3 linked regions of the Xenopus tropicalis genome follow. The protein of the gene in region 2 purifies or fractionates together with the protein of the main gene of each other region. This does not show direct contact. Links are inferred from orthologs where the notes say so. Each region holds a gene or a part of one and is shown on either strand. Other genes may lie near its edges.

Region 1 (3,753 bases), on a different chromosome or scaffold from region 2:
AGGAAAGCTGGCAGAAGCTTTGGATAGTATTTATTATGGACTAACACCATGTAAACATTTTACTACATTAACTGATAATTTAATAATTAAAATATTTTTTCAGATTTTGGCAGTATTTATCCTATGCATAGGAAACAAGGTTTCAACTGGATTGAAGTCAAAAGGGCTCACTTACAAGAAGTAGGTGCAGAATTGCCAATTTTTTTTTTTAACGTCTTTATTATGATTTAGCATGAAAAGGTTACATTCATATTTATATGCAATGACCGGTCCATCCTCTTTCCTATATCATAGGAGAGAAGGTTTATAGTTGTCCTTTACCTTTCCATCAGGCAAATAAAGTGATTCGATCCTGTTTTTAGAAAACGTGGTAGTAGTATTAAGTAATAATCATACAATATTAACTAGTAACTAATTAACTAGTAAACGTCTGCCTTTATCTTACTTGCCAGAGAACATAAAACGGTAACCTGCTTATACTTGGATAATATGACTATGTTAGTTCATCAGCCAGAATTGCAAATTTTAAACAGCATACGCATATGACCTGCACCTACTTGCACCCAAGCCCTGTGCTTAACATCTGGTTTGACCTGGTGTTATGCAGACCCAGGCTGAGATTCAAAATAGGCCCTAATATTTCAAATACACAAAGGCCCAAACAGCAACTGTCTGTGGGATCTTACAGCAGTTCCTCTGGCATTTGCCAGAATCCACAGACTGGCAGTCTGGGCCTGGTGTTAAAGGAACAGTAACACTAAAAAATAAAAATGTTTTAAAATAATTAAAATATAATTTACTGTTGCCCTGCACTAGTAAAAGTTGCGTGTTTGCTTCAGAAAGACTACTATAGTTAATAGAAATAGCTGCTGTGTAGCCATGGGGGCAGCCATTTAAATTGAAAAAAGGAGAAAAGGCACAGGTTACATAAGAAGATACCAGATAAACTGTGTAGAATACAATGGGAATCTGCTACTTAATTGTTATCTGCTTAGCAACCTGTGCCTTTTCTCTTTTTTTCAATTTAAATGGCTGCCCCCGTGGCTACACAGTAGGGTATTTATATAAACTGCAGTAGTGTTTATGAAGAAAACACACAACTTTTACCAGTGCAAAACAATAGTATATAATATATTAATTATTTTTATACACTTTCATTTTTTGGTGTTACTGTTCCTTTAAGCACTGGGCCTCCTTATGCACTCATAGCCAATCAAGGTTGTGGAAGCTGAACTGCACATGACTGACAACCATGTAAGTGTATGCCTATGCTGCAGGAAGGATGCTGCACTGAGGGGTAATATGGCAAATTGCACTTTTTTGCATTTAGCAGATGAGATCTATAGTTTTAATAATAGGTGTATTCCTTTTTAAAGAAGGGTCTTTCAAACTTATCCCATTTTTAAGATAAAAAATAAAGCTTAGGTGTCTTTTGCCAGCAAAACATACAAATCACATAGAAAATTAATTCATCGGAGTAGTATATATTTTATCTGTACATTTTCATTTATAAAAGCTTTGGATCAGAACTGCAGTTCACCCAGTAAGTATGCTTAGGTAAGGTGCACGTTAGCTGGCAGAATTACCTGTTTGGCAGATGGGGTCATTCCCTGCTGCACCACGATTAAAGCCCTCGTAATGTTCTCCTCCTGCATTCTCTGGCAATACATCTTAATTGTCTTAATGCCAACTTTGGGTTCCTCTACAAATAAGACAGGCAAACATGTAATAATCCTTTGTCTGCATGTATAGACCCTTCAGCCAGTCACTGTTTTTTTTTTTTTTTTTGCACCTACTCACCTGGGAAGAAAACAAACATTTGGTCTGTGGGATCATCATTATGAGCTACTAATACAGTCAGGTCAGTTCGGCGAGGGCGCCCTTCGCTAGGTTTGTCCCCAAACTGGGCTTTAAACTCATCCAGTGTCTGATCCAATTCATCCTGCGTTACTAAGTAACCACGGTCATGGCACAGCTGGCGAAGGAAAGAAGGATGCGAGTGAAACAGGTAATATGGAGACAGATGAGGTAAAGCACAAAAGTAAAAGTGACAGGGACGAAGAGTACAGTAGAAGTATATGCTGGAAGCAGAAATGAATGGTACCCAACACAACGTAGCTGAGTTCGAATTACTGAAAAAGGCGAAGATTATAACACAAAAAGATTTAAAACTCAATTTTCTCACCTGCATAATAGTTTTGCGGATCTTCCACAACCGGTAAGTTTCCTCCTCATCGTCCATGTTGTCTCCACGAGACCAAACAGGAAGAAGAGCGCGATTTCCGGAGCTCGGCTCCCTGGGCTGCAGGAGGACCCTACATGGGCTGCCCTCACTCTGCCTGATGGCTACAAGCGAATACTGCTGTGGGGTATCTCTGAGGACGTGTTATTAGCTTAAAACTGCACTGTGGAAAAGGAATAAAGTTGCGCATAATATCGTTTCCCTTTTTTGCTGAAGGTGGCTATTCGGGTTGTAGAATTTGTTCAAGTTTCGGTATCACGCTAAGGAAGACCAAAGAAATTGCATCGTCGCAGTTGAAGGGCTCGGCCATGTTTGTGGTAGGCAAGAAGCCGGCGTACATGTTCTTGTAAAGATCACCATTTTGTTGGTGGGTATTACTACCGTTCCTATATTCATCGTCTTCGTGTATTTATATTGCGTCACATAGTTACATGGCGCTCTGCATTAATATTATAAGTGGCTAAGTTTAAGAGTTAACCCTCTAAAGGTATAGGGATTAGTTATTGGCAAAAGAGGGTGTGGTAATGTGCCAATGATAGGCTAACTACAAGAATTACGTAAACTAAATATTCTTTAGAAATACTTGTTAAACTGTTTTAAGGCGAGCAGTGTTTTATTAAGATTTTTTTTTATTTTTGCCCCAAGCCCCATTTTGATATATAATATTATCTTTATGTATGTATATATATTTTTATTTATATAGCACTACTTATGTACCCAGCGCTGTACAGTAGGACAATAAATGAATAGAATAAACGGGACTATTACAATAAAATAAATACAAAGTATGATAGTAAATACAAGGTAAGGATACAATACGTTAAATTAATACTGTCACGGGAAAAACGTATTTTTTAAAAACATATCTGTTAATAGAGCGTCTCCAGCAGAATCCTGCATTGAAATCCATTTTTCAAAAACACAAACTGATTTTTTTTATATTTAATTTTGAAATTTCACGTTGGGCTAGCCATATTCTTCATTTCCCAGGGTGCCACAGTCATGTGACCTGTGCTCTGAACTCACACTTTACTGCTGAGCTGCAAGTTGGAGTGATATGAACCCCCTCCCAGCAGCCAATCGGCAGAATAATGGGAAGGTAGCAAGATAGCAGCTCCCAGTAGATCTCAGAATTGCACTCAATAGTAAGAAATCCAATTCCAGCTTGTGACTCCTTCAGTTATATGGAAGTAGGAGAAACAATAGGTTATCTGAAAGCAGTTCCAATGTGTAGCGCTGGCTCCTTCTGAAAGCTCAGACTTGCACAATGCTGCTTATAGACCAATATTACAGCTAAAAAAATACATTTGTTGGTTCAAGAATAAAATGTTAAATGGTAGACTGAATTATTTGCTATGTAAATAGTGTAATTCAGAAATAAAAAGTATACCATAAAAATCACAACAGTATCCCTTTAACAATCAAAGAGACAAGAGGGTGGACATCTCTGTTTACAATCTAAATGGGAGGGTAACTTACAGACACAATAGGAGGATATTAGTGCTGCAGGT
Region 2 (3,753 bases):
AAACACTCCATAATCTACAGCCAGGCTCTACGATATAATCGAATATGTTCTGATGCTACTGAAAGGGACCACCACCTAAGAACACTCATGGCAGATTTCATTAACAGGGGCTACAACCCAAGGATTGTGGATCAATATATCCATACAGCCACCAGGATTCCCAGAAGTCAACTTCTACAATACAAACAAAAAACAGAAATAAATTGAATTCCTCTAGTTGTCACATACGATCCCCAACAAAAGACCCTCAGAAAAATAGCCAAGGATCTACAGTGTACACCTCAAAAGGATGAGAGGCTCCAAAACATATTCCCAGACCCACCACTTCTGGCATTCAGGCAGCCCCCAAACCTAAAACAACTAATAACAAGAAGTGCCTTAATTCAACCCAACAAAAAAGGAACTTATCCCTGTGGCAAAAAAACAATGCAAAACCTGCCCACACATCTGTAATTCAGATTTCAGACACATTAGAGGAATACAACATCCATGGTCAGTACAACTGTTCTTCTTCCAATATGGTGTACTTAATACAGTGCACTAGATACTGAACAGGAGGACTGTATATAGGAGAGACTGGTCAAAGCCTGAGAAAAAGAAATACACACCACCGTTTTACTATAAGAACGCGATTTCTGATGGTGGCCCTGGTTCTATCAATTAGATGCTCTGCTGTACAGTGCTTCGTACATAAGTACTGTAATGCTTATACCATGTGGGGTTGATTCTCAGCACATGAAAAACCACAGGCCAAGAATCAGTTCCTTGGGCATCAGCCTCCTACTTTTCCAGGTCAAACCACTGCGTTGGCCCAGGTGCAAGCATACAATATGAATATCCACTCTAAAATGCTAAATTTACAGTTTCTTTGCTGATATCTGCCATGTGTGCCTGCACCCAGGCCAGCCCAATAGTTTCTGGTGCAGGCAAGGTAGGAGGCTGTCAGCGGAGGGACTGATTATCTGCATGCGGGTTTCCATGCGGCATCAGCCGTATATAAATAAGAATATAAATAGTTTATATAAACAAGCTTCTATGCAGCCATGGAGGAAGCACTTCAAGATAAAAAAAGGAGAAAGGCACAGGATACACAGCAGATACCAGATTAACACGAATATACCACCACTGCATTTTATTACAGAGCATATATGTTATATGATATCCAAACCTGTGCCTTTTCTCCTTTTCAACTTAAATGGCTGCAAGACTTCTAGTTCTGCTTTTGCTTTGCAAAAATTGCTCTTCTCGTGTTATCAGTTTTTGGGAGCTGGACTTAAATGTAGAAATTTAGAATTTCGAGTTAAGTTTTTCAACGCAATTTCCACTACCCACCTTTAGTTCACACCGTTTCATTCAAGTTACAAATGGAACTGTCGCAGATTTCTAGGGCGCCCATTAAAGACGTCATCACCGGGCGGAAACGTGCGCAATAAGATGTAATGTAGGTGAATGCGAGGCTAGGGCAAACGCGTGGTGATCATTCTGCTTAGGCAGCGGTACTGGCGTCTGGAGGATGAAGTGGTTGATGCGAAGTTTGAGCTAATCTGTTAGCAGCAATGTTGCTATTTTGCCCGACGTGTGGGAATGTGCTGATCGTGGAGGAGGGACAGAAGTGCTACAGGTTTGCCTGTAATACCTGCCCTTATGTGCACAACGTTAATCGCAAGGTATAATGAGGTCTTCTGAAGTGATAGAAATATGGTTTTAAGCGGCGTAAGTGTAGTCCTGGTGGCTACGAAGCCTTTTTATGCCTTGTGTATGCCAAGCATTGCTAATTGGCAGATAACATTACATTAGCAACAGTACAATGCGCTGATTTTTAAGTGCGGGATGAATCTGTATAAATTGCTAACAACATATTCTGGTAATGGCTGGGGCTTTTAGCTCTAAATTGTGTAAGTTTAATAGACTTACAAAGTTAAAAAGGTGATCTTATCATTTATGTTTTATGATAAATACTAAATAAAATGCATAGTAAATAGATACACCTGCTACCCCCACCCCCCAAAATGAACATTTGAATATACGCATATGACCTGTGATTTTTTTTTTTGTCTGATTTTTGCTAGTTTGTGGCCAAGGTCTTGCTTTTCTTCCTTTTTGGCTATTACCCTTCTGGGAACAAATCATCATAGAAGGGCACACTTTTAACCCTAAATTCACAATACCCAGAACACCACAGCACAATCACTTCCCCTGTGGAAGTGCATTACCTTGCTAAAGCACACTAATATCATAAATATATATTATAAAATGTGTCCTAACACTTTCATAAATAATATCTAAATAAATACATTTGAATATATATTAATACATAGGGAGTTCTGACCGCTAGATACTTATTTGACAAACTTTAAGGGGAAATACTGTAACCCTATCTTCACCACTTCTGGCACCTTTGACAGTGTTACACTCCACGAGTGGCGCTTACCTGATGGCACGGGACAAACCTGAATCACTCCGCAGTGGTATTGGGAGAGACTGGGTACCTGGTACTTATTAGCGCAGTGCCTCCACCTAGTGGGATCCTGGAGTGCACCTACGGGTGGCCCCACTAGGAACAATAATAATGCACACACAGTACTTGATAAACGAAATAACTTTTATCTGAAATAAAGGGGAAACTAATACAGATAACACTCCTATCCAAGTGGCAATAAGGGCCTTACTAACTAGCTTTGCCAGCGCAAGCTGTCTCACTAACTATGTACAGTCCTTTAGCTCAGTCCCAAAAGAAACAGTTTATATAGTTTAAATCTTCAAGCGCTCCTTTATTACTTTCACTTTAATGATACTCACTCCAGGAATCTCTTTGGGTGATTCACACAGAATCTTCAGGCGAGTCCAGCACTCACAGCCATGCAGTGCGACTACTAGCCCCTTTAGCTACTCAGATGGGATTCCCCTGCAGGTGTTTGTTCCTCCAGTCAGGACTCCTCACAGGATCTCTGTCTCTCCAGGTACAGGGTCTGCCTTCCCTGTACCAGCCTGTTCCAAAGGCCAGCTTCTTCTTGTGCTGCTCCTCTCTCTGAGCCCACGTGCAGCTTCTGGAGTTCTGGGGCTTTTTCTCTCCTCCCACTGACTTCCTCTCCCAGGCTGCTTTGCAACTTCCGGCAGCCCTGAGCTTGCTGTTCACCTTGTTGCTAGGCAGCAGCTCACAGCACAAAGTCTCAGTGCCAGCTCCCCTACAGGGAACAGCAGCAGGAGGGGGGTAAGTGCAGGGACCCAGCACTACCTCCCTACATTCTCCCCCTGCTTGAATGGGCAACGTCCTCGCTTGCCCTTTCTCACCATTCTTATTCTCCCTAACCTTTGGGGGAGATACACAGGGGAAAGCTTCCTCACTAACTGCCCTGACACTTCCCCTGCCTGAAGGTCTACGCATTCCCAGGCCCAGTCTCTTACTTTTATTGGGGGTGCCAGAGTGCTCAGAGACCATCCTCGTGCCACAGGATTTCTCTTCACAAATATTCACTTCACATGGGAAAGATGTCACATATACATCAGTGAAGTCTTCATTCCGTCCCCAGTCACAGGTGTGGGAAGTATGACCGTACCAACCACAGGTGTAACACCTCACCTGATTACGTCTCTTCCGATACCTCTTTTGGGGTGGCTTCCTCACAGCACAGCCATATGAAATAACTTCTGTAGCTGCAGCATTTTCACGTTGCGTCGGACAGTGTGGGGATATATGGCCCAACCGGCCACAACGGAAGCACTTTGGTGGGTCACCGCGAGCACCACCTGCTT
Region 3 (3,753 bases), on a different chromosome or scaffold from region 2:
TGTGTCACTAGCAGCTCAGCAGCAATGGGGTTAATCACTTATTCTTTACTATATAATGGGGTACAGATATTTACGCACAGTCCTGACAGGTACCCTAGCTTTATTCCCTCCAACAAAGCAAAGACTGGGCCCTGCAGGGGGCCACCACAAAGCCTGCCATGCAGAGCCCATCAGATATAACGTGTTAAGGAGTGTTAGAGTTATAGGTACAAAGCTCAGATAAGATGGTGGATGGGGATTCCCAGCTCAGTCCAACCTTTGTGTGTGCCCTCCAGCTAGTGGGGCCTCAGTGAGCCACACCCATATGATTCAAATAACATCCGGGGTGCAGGCGTGAGCCCCAAGGATACCAGTGGGTAGAGCCATCCAGTCTATGCACAGTACAAATACACAGGATTGTGGGATGAACTGAATCCAGTTAGAAAAGAAGCAGTAGATAAATTAACCCCTAAATATGGCAATTGCACCTTGCTCCTCAGAATTAAAGGCTAAGTGTCTTCTAAGTTGCACTGTACATAAATCCAAGGAACAAGGAGTTAATCAAATTGTAATGAATTAGAGGTTCTGCACCTGGGGGTAACATTCATGTTGCACTATAAGTTCTTTCATCTGATTCAGATAGATCCGTACTGTAGGAACTAAAGTCCCTGCGCTGTGAGGGCCCAAGATAAGGATGATCTGCCCCAAATGCTGTTATCTAGCAGAGCCTCATTCTCCCAGCGCCTTCTGAATGGATTTCATCTCTTCTGTCGAGAGTGCCACCAGGTCGAAGCCTTTTAGCTCTGGCTTTCCTGCCAACAGAAACACGAGAGTCTTGGTGCCAAGCCAGAACCAATAGTAGCAATGGGGTCATCCTGTGCGAACATGAACCTCAGCACTAGGGCCAGCCTGTACCCATGTAACTCTCACTGTGTGGGTACAAGTCTGTGTTATTTGGGGAGCACTGCTCACCCTACTGATGGGCTCAGAGAGTATCAATAATGAAACTGGGCCAAATTTGCATCATTGGTGGGGGGGTGTCTAATAGATTGTGTTATTGAGTCTCACCTTGGGCCTCGTACAGCTCTTTCACCTTCACTTTCAGCTCCCTGCGAAGCCCTGAAATCTCTTTATCCAGCTGCTCTTGGTCTGTGGGAGAGAATGGTACAAACACACATTGTGATTCCCCTTCCTGCCATCAACCCCGCACTCACTCTATGTACCCCCGCACTCACTCTATGTACCCCCGCACTCACTCTATGTACCCCCGCACTCACTCTATGTACCCCCGCACTCACTCTATGTACCCCCACACTCACTCTATGTACCCCCACACTCACTCTATGTACCCCCACACTCACTCTATGTACCCCCACACTCACTCTATGTACCCCCACACTCACTCTATGTACCCCCACACTCACCTCGCTCTATGATCTCCTTGGTCTTGCTCTTGGGGAGCTCTATGAACATGTTCCCAAAGCAGACAGTTACCCTTCCTACAAGCACAGACAGAAAGGAACCCATTGGGGCACTTAACAACTGTTCTTTCTCAAAAAGGAATGACAAGCTGGCAGCACAAAGAGTTCAGACCGTTAACCCAATCCTTGCTCAGTTGGAGCATTTTTGATCCCTGCAACCTGTGCTAACTTAGTAACATGAACTGTAACACTCACCGGTACACCCTGGCCTTGGCACATACATTCTGCCTGGTGCTGAGTATCGAGTGATTGGCAGCCTTTGCTGTAACATAAACACGGGCACAACACGGCTGTTTCATGAACCCTGCTAGTTTACGGGGTGCAAACCATGTAATGTTTGGAAGTCGCATGAAGGGGCGCACCCCGAAACTGTACATGGTTTGCACCTAATAAGATAGCAGGGTTCATCCCGCTGAAACAGCCCTGTTGTGCCAGTATTTATGTTTGTTCTAAATGAGTCACATGACACACATTACGGGGTACCATCACTTCCTTCCTGTCTCCAGCAGTGGCTTTGGCTTCCAGACACCAAGGACCCCTTGGCTGTGGGCAATAGAGTGTAGCGCTAAGGGCTGGCTTTTTCCCTGGAGTAGCCCTTTCCTCCCTGCAATCTCACCCTCACTCCCCCCCATAGCGTATTGTGCTGCCTACTTACCCTGCTGGCAAGGTGCAGCCCCCCTGTGCCTCTTACCTGCTGGAGAGGGGTCCTTGCAGCCCCCCAGTGCCTCTCACTTACCTGCTGGAGAGGGGTCCTTGCAGCCCCCCAGTGCCTCTCACTTACCTGCTGGAGAGGGGTCCTTGCTGAGAGACCTCAGGGCTTCTCTGTTCTGGTTTCTCTTTATATCCAAATCCACAATCTGGGACAGAATGACACACAGTTATACAGAGCAGTGACCCTTACTACCCAGCGGTGCCCATGTTACCCCCGGCCCCATGTTACCCCCAGCCCCCCGGCCCCATGTTACCCCCGGCCCCCATGTTACCCCCGGCCCCATGTTACCCCCCGGCCCCCATGTTACCCCCCGGCCCCCATGTTACCCCCCGGCCCCCATGTTACCCCCCGGCCCCATGTTACCCCCCGGCCCCCATGTTACCCCCCGGCCCCCATGTTACCCCCGGCCCCACCTGCCGCCGCTTCCCCAGCACATCCTCCGCTCTCCCCTCCACCTCCTGCAGGTAGGACAACACTCTCTGCGGGCCCCCAAACTGCTCCATGGCAACCACGGCAACCGGAAGTGTGTACTGGGAGCCCACGATGAGCCTGCCGGAAGTGAGTCGCTATGACGCAATCAGCAGGCGCCTGGGAATCTGGAACGCAAAGCTGTACCGGGGAGAGGGAAGGGGGCGGTGGCTTCCCAAAATGCTTCGCTGCTTTCGGCCCAGAGACTGGCGTGGGAGGATAAGAAACCTCTGGATTGGACTCTGCAGAACTGCCTGAGCGTCTGACACTGCGAGGGAGGGGCTACAGGGACCTGCCACCGATTGGCTGTAGCGGCTGTCAGGGCATTCTGGGAATAGTAGTTTTAATAGCAGGAATTCTGGGAGTTAGAGTGAAAGAACAGTTACTGCTCCCTCTGGGAGTTATAGTTTCTCTCTGATTGGCTGCTCTGCCCCTGCTGGAGAAATTTATTAACCAGTAGGAAGGGGCTGTTCTACTGTACATGGGAGCAGGGCAAACCATTAGTAAGGGGCTGTTCTACTGTACATGGGAGCAGGGCAAACCAGTAGGAAGGGGCTGTTCTACTGTAACATAGTAACATAGTAAGTTGGGTTGAAAAAAGACATACATCCATCAAGTTCAACCATAATGCCTATATATAACCTGCCTAACTACTAGTTGATCCAGACGAAGGCAAAAAACCCCATCTGAAGCCTCTCTAATTTGCCGCAGAGGGGAAAAAATTCCTTCCTGACTCCAAGATGGCAATCGGACCCGTCCCTGGGGCAACTTGTACTAAGAGCTATCTCCCATACCCCTGTATTCCCTCACTTGTACTGAGAGCTATCTCCCTTACCCCTGTATTCCCTCACTTGTACTGAGAGCTATCTCCCCTACCCCTGTATTCCCTCACTTGTACTGAGAGCTATCCCCCCTACCCCTGTATTCCCTCACTTGTACTGAGAGCTATCTCCCCTACCCCTGTATTCCCTCACTTGTACTGAGAGCTATCTCTCATACCCCTGTATTCCTTCACTTGTACTGAGAGCTATCTCCCATAACCCTGTATTCCCTCACTTGCTAAGAATCCATCCAGCCCCTATATAAAGTTATATAATGTATCAGCCAGTACGA

Evidence for each region.
Region 1: the proteins of polr3k (region 2) and polr2e purify together in Homo sapiens (affinity purification with mass spectrometry; 5 studies listed by BioGRID and IntAct, counting the BioPlex papers as one, with this or other methods). This does not show direct contact. The link is inferred for Xenopus tropicalis from reciprocal best matches to the Homo sapiens genes POLR3K and POLR2E.
Region 3: the proteins of polr3k (region 2) and pdrg1 purify together in Homo sapiens (affinity purification with mass spectrometry; 3 studies listed by BioGRID and IntAct, with this or other methods). This does not show direct contact. The link is inferred for Xenopus tropicalis from reciprocal best matches to the Homo sapiens genes POLR3K and PDRG1.

What each region holds. Positions count from the first base shown.
Region 1 is NC_030677.2:100,197,280-100,201,032, forward strand, and holds the start of polr2e (DNA-directed RNA polymerases I, II, and III subunit RPABC1), read right to left. Parts: upstream 2,253-3,753; 5' UTR 2,243-2,252; coding exon 2,186-2,242; intron 1,976-2,185; coding exon 1,801-1,975; intron 1,703-1,800; coding exon 1,587-1,702; intron 1-1,586. UniProt on the Homo sapiens protein: DNA-dependent RNA polymerase catalyzes the transcription of DNA into RNA using the four ribonucleoside triphosphates as substrates.
Region 2 is NC_030685.2:40,340,878-40,344,630, forward strand, and holds the start of polr3k (DNA-directed RNA polymerase III subunit RPC10), read left to right. Parts: upstream 1-1,522; 5' UTR 1,523-1,556; coding exon 1,557-1,667; intron 1,668-3,753. Other genes in the region: snrnp25 (U11/U12 small nuclear ribonucleoprotein 25 kDa protein), read right to left, coding at 1,333-1,353. UniProt on the Homo sapiens protein: Core component of RNA polymerase III (Pol III) which synthesizes small non-coding RNAs using the four ribonucleoside triphosphates as substrates. Can mediate Pol I proofreading of the nascent RNA transcript.
Region 3 is NC_030679.2:29,894-33,646, forward strand, and holds the start of pdrg1 (p53 and DNA damage-regulated protein 1), read right to left. Parts: upstream 2,707-3,753; 5' UTR 2,676-2,706; coding exon 2,586-2,675; intron 2,318-2,585; coding exon 2,242-2,317; intron 1,479-2,241; coding exon 1,404-1,478; intron 1,129-1,403; coding exon 1,048-1,128; intron 792-1,047; coding exon 709-791; 3' UTR 1-708. UniProt on the Homo sapiens protein: May play a role in chaperone-mediated protein folding.